2 linked regions of the Notamacropus eugenii genome follow. The protein of the gene in region 1 interacts with the protein of each later gene in a biochemical or structural test. Links are inferred from orthologs where the notes say so. Each region holds a gene or a part of one and is shown on either strand. Other genes may lie near its edges.

Region 1 (9,767 bases):
CATGGCTGAACAACCAGAACCCCTATAGCAAAGTCCTGTTGATTCTACCTTCACAAAACCTCTTGGCTATACTCCCTTCTCCTCCTTGGAAACAGCTTGGATTAGTCTCTTATTACTTCACTCCTGGGCTACTTCAAAAGTGCTCTGGTTGGTCTCCCTGCTTTAAGTCTCTCACCACTTCAGTCCATCCTATATTCAGTTGCCAAAGTTATCTTCCTAAACGCAAGTCTAATTATGTCACCATCCTACTCAGTAAACTCCACTGGCTCCTTGTTACTTTCATGATCAAATATAAAATCCTATTTGACTTTTAAAGTCTTTTACAACCTGGCCCCTTCCTACTTATCCACTCTTATAATTTGTACCCCTCAAGGTACTGGACAATCTATTAATGCCTTTTCATTTAATGTCTCCCCTACTTAGAATACTTTTACTTCCTGGCTTCCCTCAGGTGTCAGGTCAAATCCCACCTCCCAACAGAGGCCTTTCCTAGTACCTCTCAATACTGATGTGTTTTCCTCAGAGATTACCTCCAATCACTGTGTACATACCTTGTACTTACATAATTGTTTGCATGTAATACCCCCTATTAGAACGAATGCTCCTCAAGGGTAGGAGTTGTTTTTTCCTTCCTTTGTATTCCTAGCACTTCCTAGAACTTCACATAGTGCTCAGCACACACTAAGTGCTAATAAGTGCCAGCTGACTAGGAGGCAGAATCAAGACTTTTCAAATAATTTGGATATGTGGGGTAAGGGAGAGGGAAGGTGGGATAATGCCTACAATTTCATTTTAGTTCTGAACTATACTGCAATTGCTACAGGTTAGCCCCATTAATAAAACTGACAAAAGTGTAAGTTTGTATATTCAGGATTGCTCAAACTGAAATCCATTCTTACCAAGGTCTAGTCATAACTGCTAGAATAGACTTTGATAATAGTACTGTATGTTTAAATAAATTACATGGTGGGTAGACAGGATATGTTCAGACAAGAGTGTCATTATCTCCTTTTAAATGTTTTCAGATTTCCCCACCTTAAAGTCAACAATTTTGGTAACATTATAGGACATTACCACATAATCACCAAGATAAATCTTAAATGCTTTCCTGACATGATGCCCACTTACATGGCAAGGGAAAAATAGCAAAAAAAATTCCAGTTGTTGAAAAGTAAATTAAGGAGTCTCTAATCAAAAACTTTAAAGTCAAAGATGTTGCTTAATTGTTGGAAATCTAAATATACTAATTATAGTACAATTAAAAGAAAAAAATGTATAATACCTAAGAAACAGCAGGACTTAAAAGCCCTACTGCTGGTATACATGAAAAAAATGGGTAATAACTTTTAGCAACTACTTTTCTAACATCTAGTTGTATAATAGTAAATGTAAACATTTTGGCTGTAAAATAAAACGCTAATTTTGTATATTGGCAATTTTAAAAGAAATACCAGCAGTAATAAAATTGTAGGCTTAGGTTCATTGTAGGCCAAGTAATGATTAATCACTAAGAATAGGTAGAAGTAAAGAATCTAGCATTAAGTTTTGCCTCTGTAAAACGGAATTACCAGGCTTCTCTGGGGGTTTCAATTTATTAAATTAAGGAGAGAAAGAATAAAACTTTACACAGCACCTACTACATGCCAGGCACTGAACCAATAAGCACTTTTTACAAATATCTCCTTAGAGACCCCCAACAACCCTTGGCTGTAGGTGTTTATGTTATCCTTATTTTACAGTTGAGGAAACTGAGGCAAGCAAACGTTTACTTCCTTAGGGTCACACGCAGCTATTAAATGTCTGAATCTGCATTTGAAGTCGTCTTTCTAACTAGCTGTAAGCCCACCAGCTGCCGCAAAGGACAGGAGGAAGAGACTTGTAATCGACATAAAGGGCTACATAGTAGCTTAGGTTGTAACTCTGTACTAACAGCTTGAAACTGACTCTTACAGACTAGGAAGGTTCTGACACAAAAAGGACAGAAGAGGTGATTCAGCGTCTGAGCCTTCCGGCCCAGGTGGGTCTCTACTTGAGTCAATTTAACTGTTGAAAAGCTCTATCCCCAAAGCACTTTCTCCAGGAGCCCCGCGGCTCCTCTCGGGAACGTGTTTTCCGTAAGGTTAAGGAGGCCACAAAGGGGGCAGCCAGGTGAGCTCCCAGAAAAGGCCCTCGTTCATTATCCCCTGCTTCTCACACTTATTACAAACGCCTCTTCCGAAGCTACTCCCTAAGGGCACAAGGCGCCTAGGAAACTCGGGAAATGGCCCTGGGAAGCCACAGCCCGGCCACGGCAGGAAGGACCCGGGCTGCGCAGCCCCGACGCGCTGCTCTTCCGCCGCTGCCCCCAGCCCCAGGGCCAACGGAAGGGACAGGTAACACCCTAAGAGAGCCCGGGCAGCAATGATCCGGCCGCCGAGCGTCGGCGGACCGGCCCCGCCCGCCGCACTCTCCAGGCCCGGCCCGACCCCGTCCGGAGTCGCCGGGGTGGGCAGCTCCTCCCCGCCCCGGCCCCGCCGAGATCCCGCACCTACCCGGGAGGCAGCCTCCGGCTCCGGCTCCGGCTCCGGTTCCGGTTCCTCGTCCCCTTCGCCCCTCCAGGCCGGCGAAGCCGGGCGGACCGGCCTGGAGCTGGGCCCTGCGCGGGGCTCCCCCAGAGCCCCTAGGTCGGCGGCGGAGACCCCAGCCAGGTCCCCCAGCCGCAGCGGCAGCGGCAAGAGCGCTGACCTGGATGTAGATGGGGGCCTCGACGGAAGTGACAACATCGCTCCGCTTCCCTCGCCCGGGGTGGGGTGACACAAATTAGCGGAGAGGGGCCGCGGCGCCCGGCTTAAAGGAAGGAAGGAAGGAAACGAGAGGAAACCCCACCCCTGCAACGCCCGCCCGACCTTGCGCATGCGCGCTGACACCGAGACGCGGCGCTCGTCCCGTCGCCAGGGTAGCTGGGGAGAAGCTTTGCGCACGCGCAGTCCTCTCGAGGGATTCTCCTCGGCGGCTGCTGCCCTACTGAAAGTGGGGACTGTGGCTGCTTGACCAAAATCTCCCCCCAAATTCCCCATTTCTGCAGACTTGGAACCAGACCGCTTGGTTTCCTAGAAGCCTAAACTCTACCCCTCCGAGCCTTCCCCTTGGACATTAAATTACCACGGTCATCACTAAATTCACGGTCACCTTTGAATAAAACAGCACTTGAAGGTTTGCAGAGCATTTTGCAAAAACTGTTGTTTTTAAAAGTATATATATTTTGTCTTCTCAAGAACCCAGGGAGTTAGGTGCTGTTAATCTATCCATTTGACAGATGAGGAAACTGAGGCAGGAAGAGGTGGAGTGACTTGTCCAAGGTCACACGGGAGGTGTCTGAGGTCCGATTCGTACCCAGTACTTCTGGCTCCGGGCGCGGAGCTCTATCAGCGCCAGTCACCCATTGTCTTGTAAGCCCTTCCAGTTCCCCAGCCTTCTTTGGACTCTCTATAGCGCAGCCCGCAGCACGGTGCCTGGCACAGGGGTTTGTCCTGTGTTGTGGAAGAGGAGGGTGGCATCAGGGAGGTGATGCCATGACTGCCTGTGAATTGGATTGAAGCGAGGGAGGCTGTGCAGCGTCACCGGCTTCACTGTCTCCTCCGGAGCCATCTGGGTCCAATGCCCAGATACGGAATAGGATGACTGGAGACAGCCCCAGATGGGGGAGACCTTGAACCTTGTGTCCTGCCACATAGTAGTCGATGAAGAAGTGTTTATTGATTGATTGACCTCCTTAATTCCTCCTCATTCTTCAAAGTCCATTTCAAATGCCATCTCCTTCAGGAACACTTGCTAGGTATTATGTATCCCTTGGGGAAGTTGCTTAATCTTGCTGACTTTCCATTTTCTTTTATATAAAATGGAGGGGTTGAAGTATAAGTCTTTTAAGGTAAGGTCTAACTCTTAAGTCCTCCACTTACTTGGTTTAAATCTTTAATGGGATAGTACAGATAAAACAGTTTTCAAACCATCAAGTGATGTCAGCTGTTACTCATAATGTCAGTAAACAAAAGCTCTTATTAAAAAAAAAAAAATCCTCTGAGCCCAAACTCTTACCTAGGTGTGTAAGAAAGTATAAACTAAGATAAGACCCTGCCATCCTCAATCTAAGTCTAAAAACTGCTACTGAGAGGATTCAGGTGGTGTTTTGTTTTGTTTTAAGAAAAAAGGAAGGAGAAAAGAAAGAACAAGGGGTTTTGTTTTATTTTGTTTTTCTAAAGACTGAGAAGAAATAGAGAACCTCTTCAGCTTGATGCCAGGGCCGCCCTGACCCCTGTGTAACTGTCAGGGGATCAGGAATTTGACTTCTGCTCTGCCAACTCTCTACTCTCACAAGGCCACCAGTCTCTGAACCAAGACCCAACTGATTCACCCTGACCTTCCAGCAAAGCTCACACCCACTCACGAATTCATGGAGACCATCTTCTTAAAGAACTACGTCTACCTAGGATGAGTAACTCAGCCTTTCTTCTTTTAAACGACTCTGCCCCAGTACTCCACCCACCCTTGTCTTTCCGATGCTGGCACTGGTTGCAGGCAGCATAACCCACCCCGCTTTTAATCTCTTTCTCACTGATTTATAATCAAATAAACATTGGCTATTATAAAGGGCATGACAGTCTACTACTCCCATGGCTCCTGTGGAATTATATGAAAACTAGGTGATTAGCCCCCTTCTCTGACCACCTGTTCTCTCATAGACATTTATGTTGGCCCTATCCCTTCATTGCTCCTATGCTATCATGTGGACTATTACAAAAGCCTTCTAATTAGTATCCTTGACTCAAGTCCCTCAACTCCAATCCACTGTCCAATTGCCAAAGTGATTTTCCTCACGTGATCTAATCATGCCCCTCCTCTATTCAATAAATCCTATTACTGCTAGTATAAACTTTTTAAAAAGTCATTTATAATCTGGTGCCAATCTATCTTTTTAGTCTCATTGTCCATTGCTACCCCCCTTTCCTGAATCTTATGGTCTAGCCAAACCGGCCTCTCTTTACAGTACTGCATTTCACATGTCTGTGCCTTTTCCCTGGTTGTTCCAAATGCATGTATTTACTTCAGCCTCATCAAATCCCTCATTTCCTTCAAGATACAACTCAAGGGCTACCTTCTACACTGTAGTGTCCAACTTGTAGTGTCCTCCCCTCAACTTCCTTGTATTTGTGCTATGTGTATTTATTCTATATATATATATGCATACATGTATGTAGTATATGTGTCTATGATCACACATATGTGTGTATATATCCTGTTAGAATGTTAGGTATTTTGCGCAGGAATTACTTTTTTTTTTTGGTCTTTTATTCCCAGTGATTAATATAGTACTTGGCACATGGAAGAAATGGGGTGATGGGACCTGGCCACCTAAAAGAAAAAGACCATGTCTTTGAAAGCAACTCGTACATTTCAGTGGCCCAAATCACAAGCACCCCCCCCCCACTCCCCAATCTGAGCCACCCCAGCCCACCTAGATCACTTAATAAATTTACTTGATAATGCTTTCATTTTCCCTTTTGGCCCACCTCAGGCTATTTAACACTCCTTAATGTCATCAAGATCCTTTCAAGGTTACACCGGGACTACCCCTGCTGTTTATCTCTCCTGAATCCCATCCAAATCTTCTGTGTCCTTTTTTTAATATAAATATCTCATCTCCATCCAGGTGAAGATTCACTAAGAATCTCACCTGGCTCCTGTTGGCATTTAAGGGTTTTTTGTTGTTGTTGGTTTTTTTTTGGAGGTGTGAAGACAAGGCAGTTGGGGTTAAGTGACTTGCCCAAGGTCATACAGCTAGTGTCAAGGTCACATTTGAACTCAGATCCTCCTGACTCCAGGGTTGGTGCTGTATTCACTGCACCACCTAGCTGCGCCCCCCCCCCCCCTTTAAGATTTTAATTTGGAGGCAATGGGGGTTAAGTGACTTGCCCAGGGATCACACAGCTAGTAAGTGTTTGAGGTCACATTTGAACTCAGGTCCTCTGACTTCAAGACTGTTGGTCTATCCACTACACCACCTAGCTGCCCCCCCCCACCCCCCGTTTTTTCCAATTTGTTCTTTATTGATTAAAAATGAGGGTAATGTGAAGGAAAATACAAGATAAATAAAAGGGAATGTTGAATATTTTACATCTTACATTTTACAGTTGTTCACTGTATACACCTGTGTAGAGGAGCCTTCCTGTATCCTACAATGTTGTTCTCCAAGTAGTAACTAAATGAGCATGAACTGGTTCTAGGTTGGGTTCAGAAGTGACCCCAAACAAATCCCTTAGTGGTGTTAGACAAACCTTACATTCCATGATTATCCTTGGCACTTACTCTGGGCCTCACAGAGTGGAAGGCCCTCATGCTGTCCCCCCATCCCGACTCCCTCAGGGATGGTGCTCAGAGCTCTGCAGGCCCACAAAGGAGAGCTCTTCCCAGCCAGCCAGGCTCTGGATAGCTACTGTCTTACTGTGCATTGTCCATTTTAGAGTTTCTGAGCACCACTACACAAACAAATCCACAGAAACATGAGTGCATGCCCAAAGAAAAATAATAATACTGTCACAGGGCTTGCTAGCTGTCTCCCTAGATCTCAGTGGGGCAAAATCATTTTTAGTAGCTGATTTCTACCTTCTCAATCCACTACATGAAACTTCTGTACCAGTGTAAGGCTCCTTGGGATGTAGGGGCAGTGGGAGCAGGGGCAGACTGTCCTTCTGTCTTCACCAATCACACTCCTGGACAGAAAACTAACTAGAGAGAGCATCACTCAGCTGGCTTTACAATGAGGGAGGTTACTATGGGACTGCTGGAAGCCAAACTGAATGCTTGGACTAAAAAGCATCATTCTCTGCCCTCCCCCACACTTCAAATTCATCCAGATCCCCCAAGGTTTACAATAAACCTTGCTACCTTGACTAAAAGCTTGAGTGCTTGAATTCTTTCCAGGCAGACTCACCCTGTACCCTGGCATTTCAGGGTGCCCAGCAACCCCAAACCATGTTGTCAGGGTTCCCAGCAACACTAAACTGCATCAGTAGAACAGTAGAACATCTATCTTAAGTGGCAGCATTTCTCTAGAGTTTTTAATTTCTTGCAGAGATAGTTTTCTAACTCCAACTGATTTTATTTTTAGGAAAGAAATCCATTTTTCCAAATTGATAGCAAAACAGAAAACAGAGAAAGTATACATGTGAGAATATATCAGACAATACAAAAAGAAGGAACTCTCCCATTGGGACTGAGGTAATTCAACTCAACCAAGAGAGATAGAGTACCAGATCTCATCCAAAGGGGAAACTTCCCAGAGCTTCTAACATAGCAAGTTGGGGATAAGGAAGGACATAGTGGAGATTGCCAGCTCCTCCTATACCAACAACTTCCCAGATTTTACTTGACATTCTAATAAAAAACTAAAAATGAAAAGATCAGTATCATTAAAGTAACAAAGAAGCCAGAGAAGGAGTAATGGACTGGGAAAAGAGAGAGAGGTGGACTGGGAAAGAGAGAGAGGTGGAATTATTGGAAGTTGCAATGAAGAAAAATAGGCTTAGAAGGAATGAATTGGTTGGTTGGTTGGTTGGTCCTTCTTTCTTGAAGAGGACCAAAATGACATCACCATCATAAACTCAAGTTTCAATATGTCCAACGGTGGTTGACCAGACCAATATAAGCTCGGAATCAGGGAGGACCAGTACCTTTGGTGTGATGGCTGTCAAGCTCTTTGCAGGGCTGCTTTCCACCTTTGGTGTCCACCTGTTCCACCCAACTCTCACCTGTGGCTCCAAGAAGCTGCAGCATGTGCAGTGGCAACACCCCAATAAACTGTTTCAGCAGAAAGGCCAAACCTAGTTGAGGGTAACCAAGGAGTCTCAAACCTATTGATGAGGCGGGGGTGGGGTGGGGTGGTGTCTACCCCAAGCATGTGAAGACTTCTTCTGGAGAAGAAGTGAATCAGGTGAGTTGAAAGATAGGAGTTTGTGGCTAAACAGAAGGTTATCAGAGCTCTGAATCATGAAAGTAGAGCTCTCATGCCAGTGAGATCAAGGTTAAAAACATTCCTATATATGGCTGAAGTAAAGTTAAGGTGTATAACACAAGAATGACCTCTCTGTACCTTAGTTTCTTTATCTGTAAAATGAGGGTGCTGGACTTAATGATAATTAAGTTCCCTTCCATCTCTAGCATTTAAAGGATACTTCCAATGGACTTTACAGGATTTCACAATGTTAGAAATGGGGGCAGCTAGGTGGCCCAATGGATATGTTGGGGTTTAGGGGTGCTTAGGACCCCAAAATACTGACACACCAGGTCCTGCCCAAATGAATTCGACTCAAGTCTTCTTTCAGTCAAACAAAAACAAAGTTTATTAAAGATTTGCCATATTGGGTAGACTCTTAAGGAATCTCATCAATGAATAGACTCCTAAGGAATCTGAGCATTTGTGAAGCTTGTATTGACAAGTGAGCCAGATTGAATCTCATCTAGATTGAATCTGAGTGCCTTCATGGAGGTAGGATGGATCTTACATACATAAAGATTGTGGGAAGTATCTAGGGTTGGCCAAGTAGTCTGGGGTAACTAGAGGAGGGGTTTAGAGAGGGTCTTGAGGAGGAATCTAAGGAGGATCTTGATGGGACTAGGGTAACTAGAGGTCAGAACCAACAGAGTGGGATTTTGATAGGATCAAAGGTGGGAAGTAGCCTGAAGCAATTGGACAAAGCATTAATGAAAGGCTTATGGCCTCAGGCGAACTCCAGATGAAGTGGGAAGATTCAAAGGGCCTGTACCTCATCAGATAGAGAACCAAGTCTGGAGTCAGGAAGACTTAGTTTCTTGAGTTCAAATCTGACTTCTGACATTTACTGATTGTCTGACTCTGGACAAGTCACTTAATCCTGTTTACCTCAGTTTCTCAAACCACTGGAGTATCTTTGCCAAGAAAACTCCAGATGGGACTATGTAAGGTACAAGACCCTTTCCCAAAATTTTAGAAAATAAAGAGACTTCTTGAGGTAAGAATAGAAAATGTTTTATTCAGTTCTTGCGAGAAAGGGACATCTCTTCCACCAGAACCGGACTAGTGGAAGGAGGCAGTTTACAGAGAACAAGGCACCATCATAAACTGTAATGCAGAGAATTCCTCCCCTCTCCCCCCCCCCCCCCCCCCAATATACCACCTCTCCATTGGCTGGGAGGCAGGTTTAAAGACTAAGCTCGGAAAAACTAGACAAGACACACTTCCTTATCTAATACATAACTAACTGCTGATGTGGCTATTCTACAACTAAACTAACTAAAAAGGAAGGGAGGGGAAGAGGGGAGGGAGAGAAGAGGGAGCTATCAAACAAAGACAGATTTGATTAACTTCCAAGTTTCAACTACAGTCCATTTTGTTCTTATTTGGTAAAAATACCAGTGCTCAGGTAGCACTCTCACAGAGGGAAGGGAGGGGAAGGAGGGCCCTAACTGCCCACAAGCCTGGAAATCAGGGATGCAGAGAGAGAGGCCTTATGGACAAGAAATTTTATTTAGAAAATACAATATTCCCCATATTTTATCATGAGAAATCTTCACAATGTCCTTATTTCAGAGAAGAGCCAGAAACCGTCAGAAACATCTTTCTCCATGGTCAAGATTATTTTCTGGTATTTATTAGAGTCTGCAATGAATCATCTTGCCCACAGGGTGGCAGAAGATCATTTAAAATCATAAAATGTTTATTGATAACACAAATTCAAAACGAAAAATAAATGCAA
Region 2 (10,802 bases), on another chromosome or scaffold:
AGTCCTCCTGGTCGATATCTGGCCACTGGACTCAAACGACTCAGGAGGAGAAAGTGAGGCTGGTGACTTTGCCCTGCGCTGCCCTCCCTCCCTCACTGAAATCCACTTCACTTGCACGTTGTGGCATCGCTTCCCAACGCCCTCTTCATGATCTTCATGGACGAACGACAAACAACAGAGGCTGGCACATTTCTGTCGTGGCCTCGTGGGGTCTGGCTCTTCATGACCCCATTTAGTGTGGTTTGCCATTTGCTTCTTCAGCCCATTTTACAGATGAGGAAACAGAGGCAAACAGGGTCACACAGCTTAGTAAGTGTCCGGGGCCAGATTTGAACTGAGCGCCTCCTTCATGCAGGGCACCGCCCTGGGGGTGACAAGAAACACAGGCCTGGGCACGGTGGGTGCCCTCGCGGAGATCCCGGGCGTTGTATGGGGTGAGCACGCAGGCCTGGGCACGGGGGTGCCCTCGCGGACATCCCGGGCATCATATGGGGTGAGCACGCAGGCCTGGGCACGGGGGTGCCCTCGCGGAGATGCCTGGCGTTGTATGGGGTGAGCACGCAGGCCTGGGCACGGGGGTGCCCTCGCGGACATCCCGGGCATCGTATGGGGTGAGCACGCAGGCCTGGGCATGGGGGTGCCCTCACGGAGCTCCGTGGGACACAGGGAGCCACCAGACGCGCTCCTGACGAGGCCACTCGAGGTACGGGCGCTTCGGAAGAGACCAGATGCGTCAGACGGCGATCGATCAATCGGAAATGACCGTTTATCAGATACCCAGTGTGCCAGCCGCCACAGCCAGGCCTGGCCCGGAGCCTATGGCCTGTGGTTTCTATGGCAGTTTAGAGGAGGGGGTGCTATTCCGACCATGCCAACCGGACAACAGGGAAACTGAGGCACGCCCACAGGTAATCACAGGGTCAGGAGACTTTTGTCTCCGCCAGGTTGGCTCCGGGAGCCAAGAGTGGCCTCTGGAACCCAAGCGCTCGGGCCTTAGGCACTTTGCATATTCATGAGGGGGCGGGGCAGTCACGGGGGGGGGCGGGGCAGTCCCCGGGGGGGCGGGGCACGGAGGGGAAGGGCGGGGCAGTCACCAGGGGCGGGGCACGGAGGGGGAGGGCGGGGCAGTCACGGGGGGGGGCGGGGCAGTCACGGGGGGGCGGGGCACGGAGGGGAAGGGCGGGGCAGTCACGGGGGGGCGGGGCAGTCACCAGGGGCGGGGCACGGAGGGGAAGGGCGGGGCAGTCACGGGGGGGCGGGGCAGTCACCAGGGGCGGGGCACGGAGGGGGAGGGCGGGGCAGTCACGGGGGGGGCGGGGCAGTCCCCGGGGGGGCGGGGCACGGAGGGGAAGGGCGGGGCAGTCACCAGGGGCGGGGCACGGAGGGGGAGGGCGGGGCAGTCACGGGGGGGGCGGGGCAGTCACGGGGGGGCGGGGCACGGAGGGGAAGGGCGGGGCAGTCACGGGGGGGCGGGGCAGTCACCAGGGGCGGGGCACGGAGGGGAAGGGCGGGGCAGTCACGGGGGGGGGCGGGGCAGTCACCAGGGGCGGGGCACGGAGGGGAAGGGCGGGGCAGTCACGGGGGGGGGCGGGGCAGTCACCAGGGGCGGGGCACGGAGGGGGAGGGCGGGGCAGTCACGGGGGGGGGCGGGGCAGTCACCAGGGGCGGGGCACGGAGGGGAAGGGCGGGGCAGTCACGGGGGGGGGCGGGGCAGTCACCAGGGGCGGGGCACGGAGGGGGAGGGCGGAGCAGTCACGGGGGGGGGGCGGGGCAGTCACCAGGGGCGGGGCACGGAGGGGAAGGGCGGGGCAGTCACGGGGGGGCGGGGCAGTCACCAGGGGCGGGGCACGGAGGGGGAGGGCGGGGCAGTCCCCGGGGGCGGGGCACGGAGGGGAAGGGCGGGGCAGTCCCCGGGGGCGGGGCACGTCAGCTCGAGCGCACAAGGTCGGGGCCCAGCCAGAAGCGGAGGCGCAGCCGGGACTCGAACCTAGGTCTTTCCACGCCCCAGGGGAGGGAGGGCGCGGGGAGCCTGGGCGGCCTCTTACAGAGGAGGAAGCTGAGGCCCGTGCCCCTCGGCCCCGCCCCGCGCCTCTGGCTCCGCCCGCGCGTGGCACGTGGCAGGCCTTCCGCTGCTGTGACGGGGTTCCCAGCGCACTCCTCACCGCGCCCCCCGGCACCCCAGAGATCATGGGTCCAGCCCTCACTGAACACCAGGGGAAACTGAGGCCGGAGGAGCCGAGGCCCCCAGAAGGCAGTGACTCTCTGGGCTTTGTGTTCCTGGAACACCGCAGGCGATTAATGGGACACATTCTGGGGCAGATAGAGCGCCCCGAGCAAGTCTGCGGCTGCCGGGAGGGGCGGGTGGCGATCTGCGCTTGGGGAGGGGGTGTTCTCACCGGGAGTCCTTCCTAGTGGGGATGCCGGTGACAGCAGCCAGCATCTCCGCAGCCCCGGAGGGCTGGCACAGCCTTCAGACGGTGTCTCCTCGGATCGCTAGACGCCGGTGGTGTTTTCCAGGTCAGGCTCTTCGTGACCCCCAGGGTTTTCTTGGCCATTCCCTTCTCCAGCTCGTTTTATAGATGAGGACACTGAGGCAGACAGGGTGAAGTGACTGGCAGCGAGCCCCGACCCCAGGAGGGCCTGCTTTCCTAAAAGAACGTTCTTTAATCCCGTGCCCCAACAGAGGAAATACAAGCAGGGAAATGACCCACAGACAGGGCTTCGGTCCGACCATGAGCAATACGTACATCCCAGATCAACAGATGGCTCCACGTCTGACCATTACATGCAGAGTTGGCACCAACATATACATTCTTCAGGACCGCAGGGCACTGACCCTCTTGACTCTGCCTCTAGCAACGAACAAGAGGTGTGGGCCTTGCTACAAAACGAGCTTCCCCTAAGCAAGCTTCTCTCCAAGGGCTATAGGTGAGGTCTATTAACGGGTGGGGGAAGACCTTGAGCTCTGGCGTCAAAGTCCTAGTAAGTATTGGAGGCCAGATTGGAACTCAGGAAGATGGGTCTTCAAGACTCCAGGCCCAGACTTCATCCACCGCCCCCCAGCTGCCCCTGTTCCTGGGAAAGCAGGTGCATCACAAATACATGCTTGTTGACCAGAGACTTTTTTTTCCTTAAAAATTTTTTTAATATTTTCCCCCAATTACAAACTTTAACGTTCATTTAAAATTTTTTTGACTTCCACATTCTTTTTCCCTTTTCTTCTCCTCCCCTTCTCTCTCTCAAGAAGGCAATTTTATATAGATTATGCATGTATAGTCACGCACAGCACATTTCCAAGTTAGTCATATTGTGAAAGAAAACATAGACAAAAAAACCCACAAGAAAAATAGAGAAAAAAATATGCTTTGATCTGCATTCAGACTCCATCAGTTCTTTCTCTTGAGATGGAGAGTTTTTTTCATCATAAGTCCTTCAGAATAGTCTCGGATCACTGCTGAGGCTAGCTGAATCATTCACAGTTGATCATCATACAGTATTACTCTTACTGTTGATAATGTTTAATATAAAATTTTGGAATAATCTCTTTGTTCTCTCTGAAGCAAACTCAGAGAATGCCTCTTCCTATGTCAACAAAAGCCTGCCAGGGCTGACTTACATTCCTTAAGAGACCTTTAACCTAAGACACTATCTTGAATAATGGGACGTTTTCCATATCTTAATATTTGTAGACATATACTATGTTATGGCATGTTAATGGTAAAGAAAACACAGACATCTTAGGTCGTAATTTCTATTGAACTTTGTTTACCCTTTCCTATGTCAGTTACCTGTTTAGGGCAGGAAGCCCACCACTTACATTTCCAAGACATATGTTTACCCAGCTTGGAATCCCAAGGCCTGACCAATATTGCTTTGTTAATTGTCCTGTCTTACTGAATTTATGATTTGTTCAACTAGGAGAGTTCTTTTCTCACGGCAAAATGTATATAGGCCAGAAGATTTCTGCACTGGGTAGCCAGAACATTTCTGGCTCCATAATGCATTATGTAACTGTTTTCTTTATGGGGAATTAATCAATTAATTAATTAAATCATAAAATGTATGCATTTAGCCATGTTGCCTTTTCTTCAACAAGTTTTCAGGTCAACACAACCTATGCAATTAAGAAATTCCTTTCTAATGGTGTAGTTAATCATTCATGGAGATCATAAATCTGAAGGACACAGAACACTTCTTTGCCCTAAAAACATATTTAAGGCTTCCCAGTTCTTTGTATCGGTAGCCAGAACATTTCTGGCTCCATAATGCATTATGTTACCGTTTTCTTTAATAGGGAATTGATTAATTAATTAAATCATAAAATGTATGCATTTAGCCTGTTGCCTTTTCTTTAACCAAGTTTTCAGGTCAACACTGTATACAATTGTTGAGGACCAGGGTGGAGTGCGGTGGACAAGATCAGGAAAGACCTTTGGGGAAACTGTTCTTTGAGACTGTGCTCCTTATCATCCAGAATGGCTCTCCATGACCCCTGGATGTTGCTATCTCCCTGAGACAAACGAGAATTACAGAAAACAAGGGATATGTAAAATAGATGCCCCCTAGGCTAACAGTCTTTAAAGACAATAAGACTGGCCAAATCACTGGGAGACAGAAGAATCTCACGTAGACTCGCAGTTTCTGTCTATATATACCCTAACCCTTGGATCAATAAATGGAATTGGTCCATCTTTCCCCGCCTCCCGTGTCTTTCTTCTTCACCACATCACCAAGCCCGTGTGTGGAGGCAGGCCTTCTGCTACATACACTGTTCCGGCTCTCATTTCACTTTGCATCAGTTCATGCAAGTCCAGGTTTTTCCGAGAGCACCCTACTCATTTCTTATAGCACAATAATATTCCATCACAACCTTATACACGTTATTCTCGTATTCCCCAAGTGATGGACATCCCTTAATTTCTAATTCTTTGTCACCACAAAAAGAGCTGATACAAGTATTTTTGTACATATAAGTCCTTTTCTTTTTTTCAGTCTCTTTGGGATGTGTGCTTGTCCTTCATTCTCAAAGAGGACCATGACATGAAGATGAGGACATGACTTGCCATTGACTTTGATTTGAGGGAGGGAGGGCTGTGCAAGGTCACTTTCTTCTTGTGCCTCACTTTCTTCTCCTGAGCCACCAGGGTCCAGTGGCCAGATAGTCCTCAGGATCACTGGAGATGGCCCCGTCCTTTCAGGCTGAGGTCTTATAGCATTTTGACTTTAAGTGAGGCACACTCATCTTTGGCACACAGACCTGGGAATGCTAGCAGCTCAAGCAGAGGGCAGGGCTCCACGCTCCTCAGCGGACGCCTGCGCAGGCGCAGAACGCCCCAGACCGCGCATCCGTGTGTCAGTTTCCCCACAGCCCCGCCCACACCGGTCCGGGCCTGGGTGGCAGCTCGGAGTTGTTCCGGTTTGCGTGTCTCGCGTCCCCGCAGCTTGTCTGAAAGCTGTCAGTTGTCAGTTGTCTTTTAGACTCCGTTCTGTCCACATCAGAGAAATGAGGTCTTCGTCTGGGAGCTGCGTTCCCGTGTCTGTCCTGCTGTCTCTCTGTCCTTCCACCCTGTCCCTTCTCAAGTGTTCGCTCTGACCTTTGCCCTCCGTCCATCAGCACCCCGTGACCCCATCCCCTCCTCCCGCCCCCTTGATTTCAGTTTGTAAGTGATCATCCCATCTGGACCCTCCTAGGGAGAACGTTCTGGGGAGTTACGAGCGTAGGAACGGGAAGCGTTCAACCTCATCGAATCCTTCCTGCTTCCTCTTTCCTGGTTTACTCTATTTCTGAGCCACGCAAGCGCAGAGAGCGTCGGACTCCGTGGGCCTATCAGCGAGGGCGGAACCCTATTTCTCCGCCTCTGTCCCCACCCGGAGAGGAACCGGAAGGGAACGGCAGAGGACGCAGGCGGCCCCTCCCCCAGGCGGAAGCGGCCATGTTTGTTCGTGGCAGCGGACCGGAAGCGGGTGCGCGGCGGGGCGGAAGTGGCGGGGCGGTGGCTCCGGGGTGGGTGTGGGTCTGCGGGAGAGTGCCTGCGGGGGGGGCGGCGCTCCTCCCTGCTCTGCTCCCTCCCTCCCAGCGTCGGCTCCGAGCCGGATGTTGGCGGAGCTGTGACAGGAGGCGGCGGCGGCGGTGAGCTGGGCCGGGGCCGCGCGGGGCGGGGAGGGGATCGGGACCCCGACGGCGAGAAGAGGGGCGGGCTCGGGCCCGCGGCGGCAGCCTCCTCCGGGCCGGAACCGTCGTGCGGACGGGGCAGCTGAGCCTGGGAACGGAGGTCTCCGCCGCGCCGCTCCCCGGGCCTCAGTGTCCCCGTCTGTAAAACCCCTCCCTCCGCTGCCTGAGGTGTCGCCCTGGATGAGTCACTTCCTCTTTCCGGGCCTCAGTTTCCCCTTCTGCGGGGCTGGGTGAGTGACCGGGAACCTCGCTCGCTCGGTCGGCGCGTGAGCTGCCCCCGGGCCTCAGTTTCCTCCTGTGGAAGGCCGGCCTCCGAGGTGCTTCGCAGCGGTGTGCGGGGCTCCCCCCCGCCGTGTGCGGGGCTCCCCCCCGCCGTGTGCGGGCTCCCCCTGCCGTGTGCGGGCTCCCCCTGCCGTGTGCGGGGCTCCCCCCCGCCGTGTGCGGCCCCCCCCCGCCGTGTGCGGCCCCCCCCGCCGTGTGCGGCCCCCCTGCCGTGTGCGGGGCTCCCCCCCTCCCTGTGCGGGGCCCTCCTCCCTGTGCGGGGCTCCCCCCCGGTGTGCGCCCCGGACTGGTCCTTTCCCCGTGGGGGCCCATCCGGGTGACCCGCCCCGGCCGTGCATCCCCCGCAGCCGCGCACTGCAGGGCCGGGCCCTCCTCCCGGTGGCCCGGCTCCGAGGCTGCTAATGGTCGGAGCGGGGAGCCCGTGCGGGGAGCGCCTTAGGGATGGGGTGATCCCGCTCCCTCGTCTTACACGCGAGGTACCCGGAGACTCCCCGCCCCCCAATGAAGGTCCCGCAGCCTGGCTTCAGATCCGGAGAAGCTGGTCCGAAGGAGGGTGGGCTAGGGCAGGGGGGAGGGGCCGGGTTTCCTTCCACGTACCTGTCCGGAGCCCCTCCTTCTTTTCTCCCTTGGGAAACAGGCCCTGCCAGGCTGGGCGCTGGTAGAGCGTCCCAGGTGAGTTCGCTGTCCTGGTCTCGGGTGGTGATGAGGCAGAGGGAGTTCCTGGGGGCCCCGGGGTGGTTTAGTTCTGACCAGAGAGGTGAGACGCTGGAGTGCAGAATGGCACCCCCCGTTTATCTTGTAGCAGCAAAGAGAGAGACAGCCGTTTCAGTTACGGGTGGGAGCAAGCTGGTAGGGTTCAGACACTAGGGGGGCTCTGAAAGCCCCAGGGCTGGCCTAGCCTCCTTGTTTCCGCAGGTTCAGGTCAAGGTGATCCACCTCCTTTAAATCTGGGTCCCTGATCTGAGTCGTGGAGGTGAGCTGTTCAGCCTTCTTTGGTGGGTAAAGGCTTAGATTAGCACCAGGGCACCCCCATGCCCACTTTGGGATGGCACCACACAAGAGGCCCATTATCTCTGACCTTTGCGTTGCTGGTCTTTTCTCCAGAGAGGAAGAAGCACAATCTTAGAGTGGAAAGTTCAGGGTCTGTGAAGCAGCTTAAGTTGGAAATTCCCCGGGCCAGGAGGATGCAGCCTCTCCTGACCCTCTTTGATGGGAGATTTGGGGAGCAGCTTTCTGGGACTGGGGTGAACTTGTCGGCTGTAGCTTTAGAGGTACTGATGGAGGTCAGCCAGGAAGGGCGGGTGCAGTCAGGAAGTGAAAGCTGTGGAGTTGCAGAAAGGCAGTGAAATTTCAAGTTCAACCCTTTTTCAAACGTTGGCCTCCTTCCTCCCTTGCACATACTTGAGTTCCAAGATGCTCTCTCCTTTGGTGTAGAGCAGGAGAGATTTTTTCAGAGCTCATATAGTTCTTTATTTCATCCACGGGGATGAAATCCATCCATTGGGGCCCACTGGCAGAGCTAGGGCTGTTCAGCGGGGTCAGCAGAGCATCTGGCATGGGTTTCCTCTAGCAGCTGCCCTTTTGAGGGCCTTTCCCTCCTTGTGTCCCAGGGACACTAGAATGTGGGCAGTGGAATTCCCCAAGGAAAGGTCTGTGTGGCACAGAGTGGGCATGAGGAAAGCAGTTGGTATTGTGGTATGGAGTCCAAAGTCTTGGGTTTGAAACTTGGCTCAGAGCCACTTAGTAGTGGTGGGAACAGGAAGTCACTTTCTCCAGATAGAAAAAAAAGGGCAAGGTTTCCCACTGCATCTCGGGCCATCTCTAGGCTCCTGATCCATATCTGGGCACTGGGCCCAAATGGCTTCAGAAAAGAAAGCGAGGCTCGTGGCTTTGCACAACCCTGCCTTACTTAAATTCAATTCCTCTGCTGTCATGATATCACCTTCCTCAACAACAAGTGTCCAACTGAGCCTCGGTTCCCTCTAGTTCCTAAGCATTGGATCGGTCCAGAGATTCAATGGCTTGCCCTCTAGAGGCCTGATTCCCAGCTCTGCCACTTCTGACCCCTGTGACCTCAGGGCCTCAGTTTCCTCATCTTGAAAATGAGGACTTTGGCCCAGATGACCTCGAAGTTCCCTTCTAGTTGTACATCTCAGCTCCTGTGTTATAGGGAAGGTTCCTGAGCAGGTGTGGTTTGAGCTTGAGAGCCAACCTTTCAACCTGGAGCTCCCCTAATTCAGTATGAAATCAGGGGAGCTTGGGCCCTTCGGACCTTTTTTGATTCTGTAGCAGTATCTTTAGAAAGTCACATTGTGGCATCCTAGAGTGTCAGACAGTCATAGGGTCACAACAGCTACGACTACAAGAGCCTTCATAGGTCTTCTAGTCCAACTCTGACATTCTACAAATGAGCAAACTGCGACCTATGAAATGACTGGTCCAAGGCCACACAGGTGTCACGTGGCATAGCCAGCCCTCTGGCTCAAAGACAGCTTTCCCTGGACACTTCATGTTGTCTTTTCCCCCGAAGGCCCACACTTGAAAACCTCACAAGAGAGGGAGTCCCCTGTTTTCTGGGGGCAGTCCTTTCCAGTTTTGAGTCATTAGAATTTTGGGGAATTTTATCACCTGTAAAGAAACAGATTCAACCAAGGAATGACTTGTTGGTTACACCATTATTAAGTGGAACCGAGCCAAGCTTCAAGCCCAGGACTTCTGCGACCAAACGCAGGCTCTCTCCGTGTTATCACGACACTGCCTTGCTCACCCCTGTGCCCCACCAGGCTATGTTCTGTGGATTGCACTGCAGACTTTCCCTGTAACATTTTAGCAAATAGTAACTGAAGGAATCAGGTCGGTGAGCTTAGTAAAAAATTTATGCAAACTCCACCCAAAGGAGAGATCGCATGGGCCCAAGACGTGCTGGGAGTGATGCGTGTAGGTGAGCCATCAGGCAGGGCAGAATCTGGCCCATGCTCCAGGTCACTTGAAATCAGTCTTCCCACTGTGGGACAGGAAAGCAAAGGTGAATGACTTTTGATTTATGATTTGTGGAACACAGTCTCCCTTTAAAAAAAAGCAAGCAATTCATCTTCATCCGGTGACAGTGTTTGCCAAGCACTTTCTTCCCAGTCCTGGGGAGCTCAGTAGTTGTAAGGCAGTGGTCCTTGAGGTGGGGATTGGGAGTAGAAGCTGGGAGAATAGCTTACTGAGAAGGAACATGATATTTCCTTGTAAGGAACAATTCTCTTGGGGAAGAAAATTGTATTTTGCATTGGTAGGAAAGGCTGGGGTAGCAGCGGTCTTCTGGGGGCAAGCAGGATCATTTCTTCTTTGGTTGAAATGCTCCCCAGGAAACTGATCTGGAGCTCAGAAGAGCTTTTCAGCACTGACTCAGTGTGGTTGCCTGGTGACAGGGTGGTGGTTGCTAGGTGCAGGGAGGCAGTTTGCCATCCCAAGTCCTTAGCTGGGCCTGCCAGTGCGTAGTTGTTGCATTACCTCATGACCCAGAGGAGTTCCGGGTCTGGGCCCTGGCCTTGCAGGTTCTGGGCCCTCCTCCTCCCTGCCATTCCATCAGAGCCTTGTCGATGCGTTCCTTATCTTTCCTACTGATCCTCTGACCATATATGTCTTGTTTGGGCTCTTGGAATGTGTCTGGCTCTGAGCAAGCTCACTCCTGGGACCTCTAGCGGGAAGCAGATAGATCTTGGATTTCGTGGGGATGTAGGGAGGCCCTAGAACCCACCTCCTAACCACACACGACCACGCCCTGCTTTCTATAACCGGAATCCAAGCCCCAGGGAGTCCAAAGGCATCCCAATTCTAGGCCTAGTTTTTCCTTGGATCTCTAATTCTGGGAAGATTTTTCCATTTTCCTCTCCCACAGCTAGGGCTGTGGATGTTTCTTTTTTCCCCACCTCCACTTCAGCCTGCCCATCCAGCTTTGTCTCATCTTGGAGGGGCAGAGCTGGGCTTGGGCAGCAGCCCTGCCTCTAGCTCTGTCCCATCCGCTATGCGGTTTCCATCACTGGATCCCATCTGGGGCCCTGCCCTTTTTCTTCTGAAACGCGTCTCCTGACCTCTCCTCTATGCCACTGCTCCTCTGGACTTTGGTTTCTAGTGAGGACACCAGCCGACCCATCAGAGTGCCCCTCTTCCCTCCTCCTGCCATTCTCAAACAGTTGGCAAGACTGTGTGGAGGCCGTGTGGCCAGCCTGTAGTGCAGGGCCTAATCACCTCTCCCTTGGACTGTCGCTGTGGCGGCCTGATTGGGCTCTAGGATGTAGTCCTACACAGCTACTAAACTGGTGTTTCTAAAGCACAGCTTTGGCCATCAGTCACTGGGAAA

Evidence for each region. The genes of interacting proteins can lie anywhere in the genome.
Region 2: the proteins of BNIP2 (region 1) and ARHGAP1 form a complex in vitro, tested with the Homo sapiens proteins (2 studies listed by BioGRID). The link is inferred for Notamacropus eugenii from reciprocal best matches to the Homo sapiens genes BNIP2 and ARHGAP1.

Annotation. Positions count from the first base shown.
Region 1 is NC_092872.1:149,410,673-149,420,439, reverse strand, and holds the start of BNIP2 (BCL2/adenovirus E1B 19 kDa protein-interacting protein 2), read right to left. Parts: upstream 4,047-9,767; 5' UTR 3,057-4,046; coding exon 2,532-3,056; intron 1-2,531.
Region 2 is NC_092877.1:4,149,670-4,160,471, forward strand, and holds the start of ARHGAP1 (rho GTPase-activating protein 1), read left to right. Parts: upstream 1-5,959; 5' UTR 5,960-6,130; intron 6,131-6,166; exon of another isoform or gene 6,167-6,352; coding exon of another isoform or gene 6,353-6,402; intron 6,403-6,839; exon of another isoform or gene 6,840-7,126; intron 7,127-7,402; exon of another isoform or gene 7,403-7,427; intron 7,428-10,802. UniProt on the Homo sapiens protein: GTPase activator for the Rho, Rac and Cdc42 proteins, converting them to the putatively inactive GDP-bound state. Cdc42 seems to be the preferred substrate.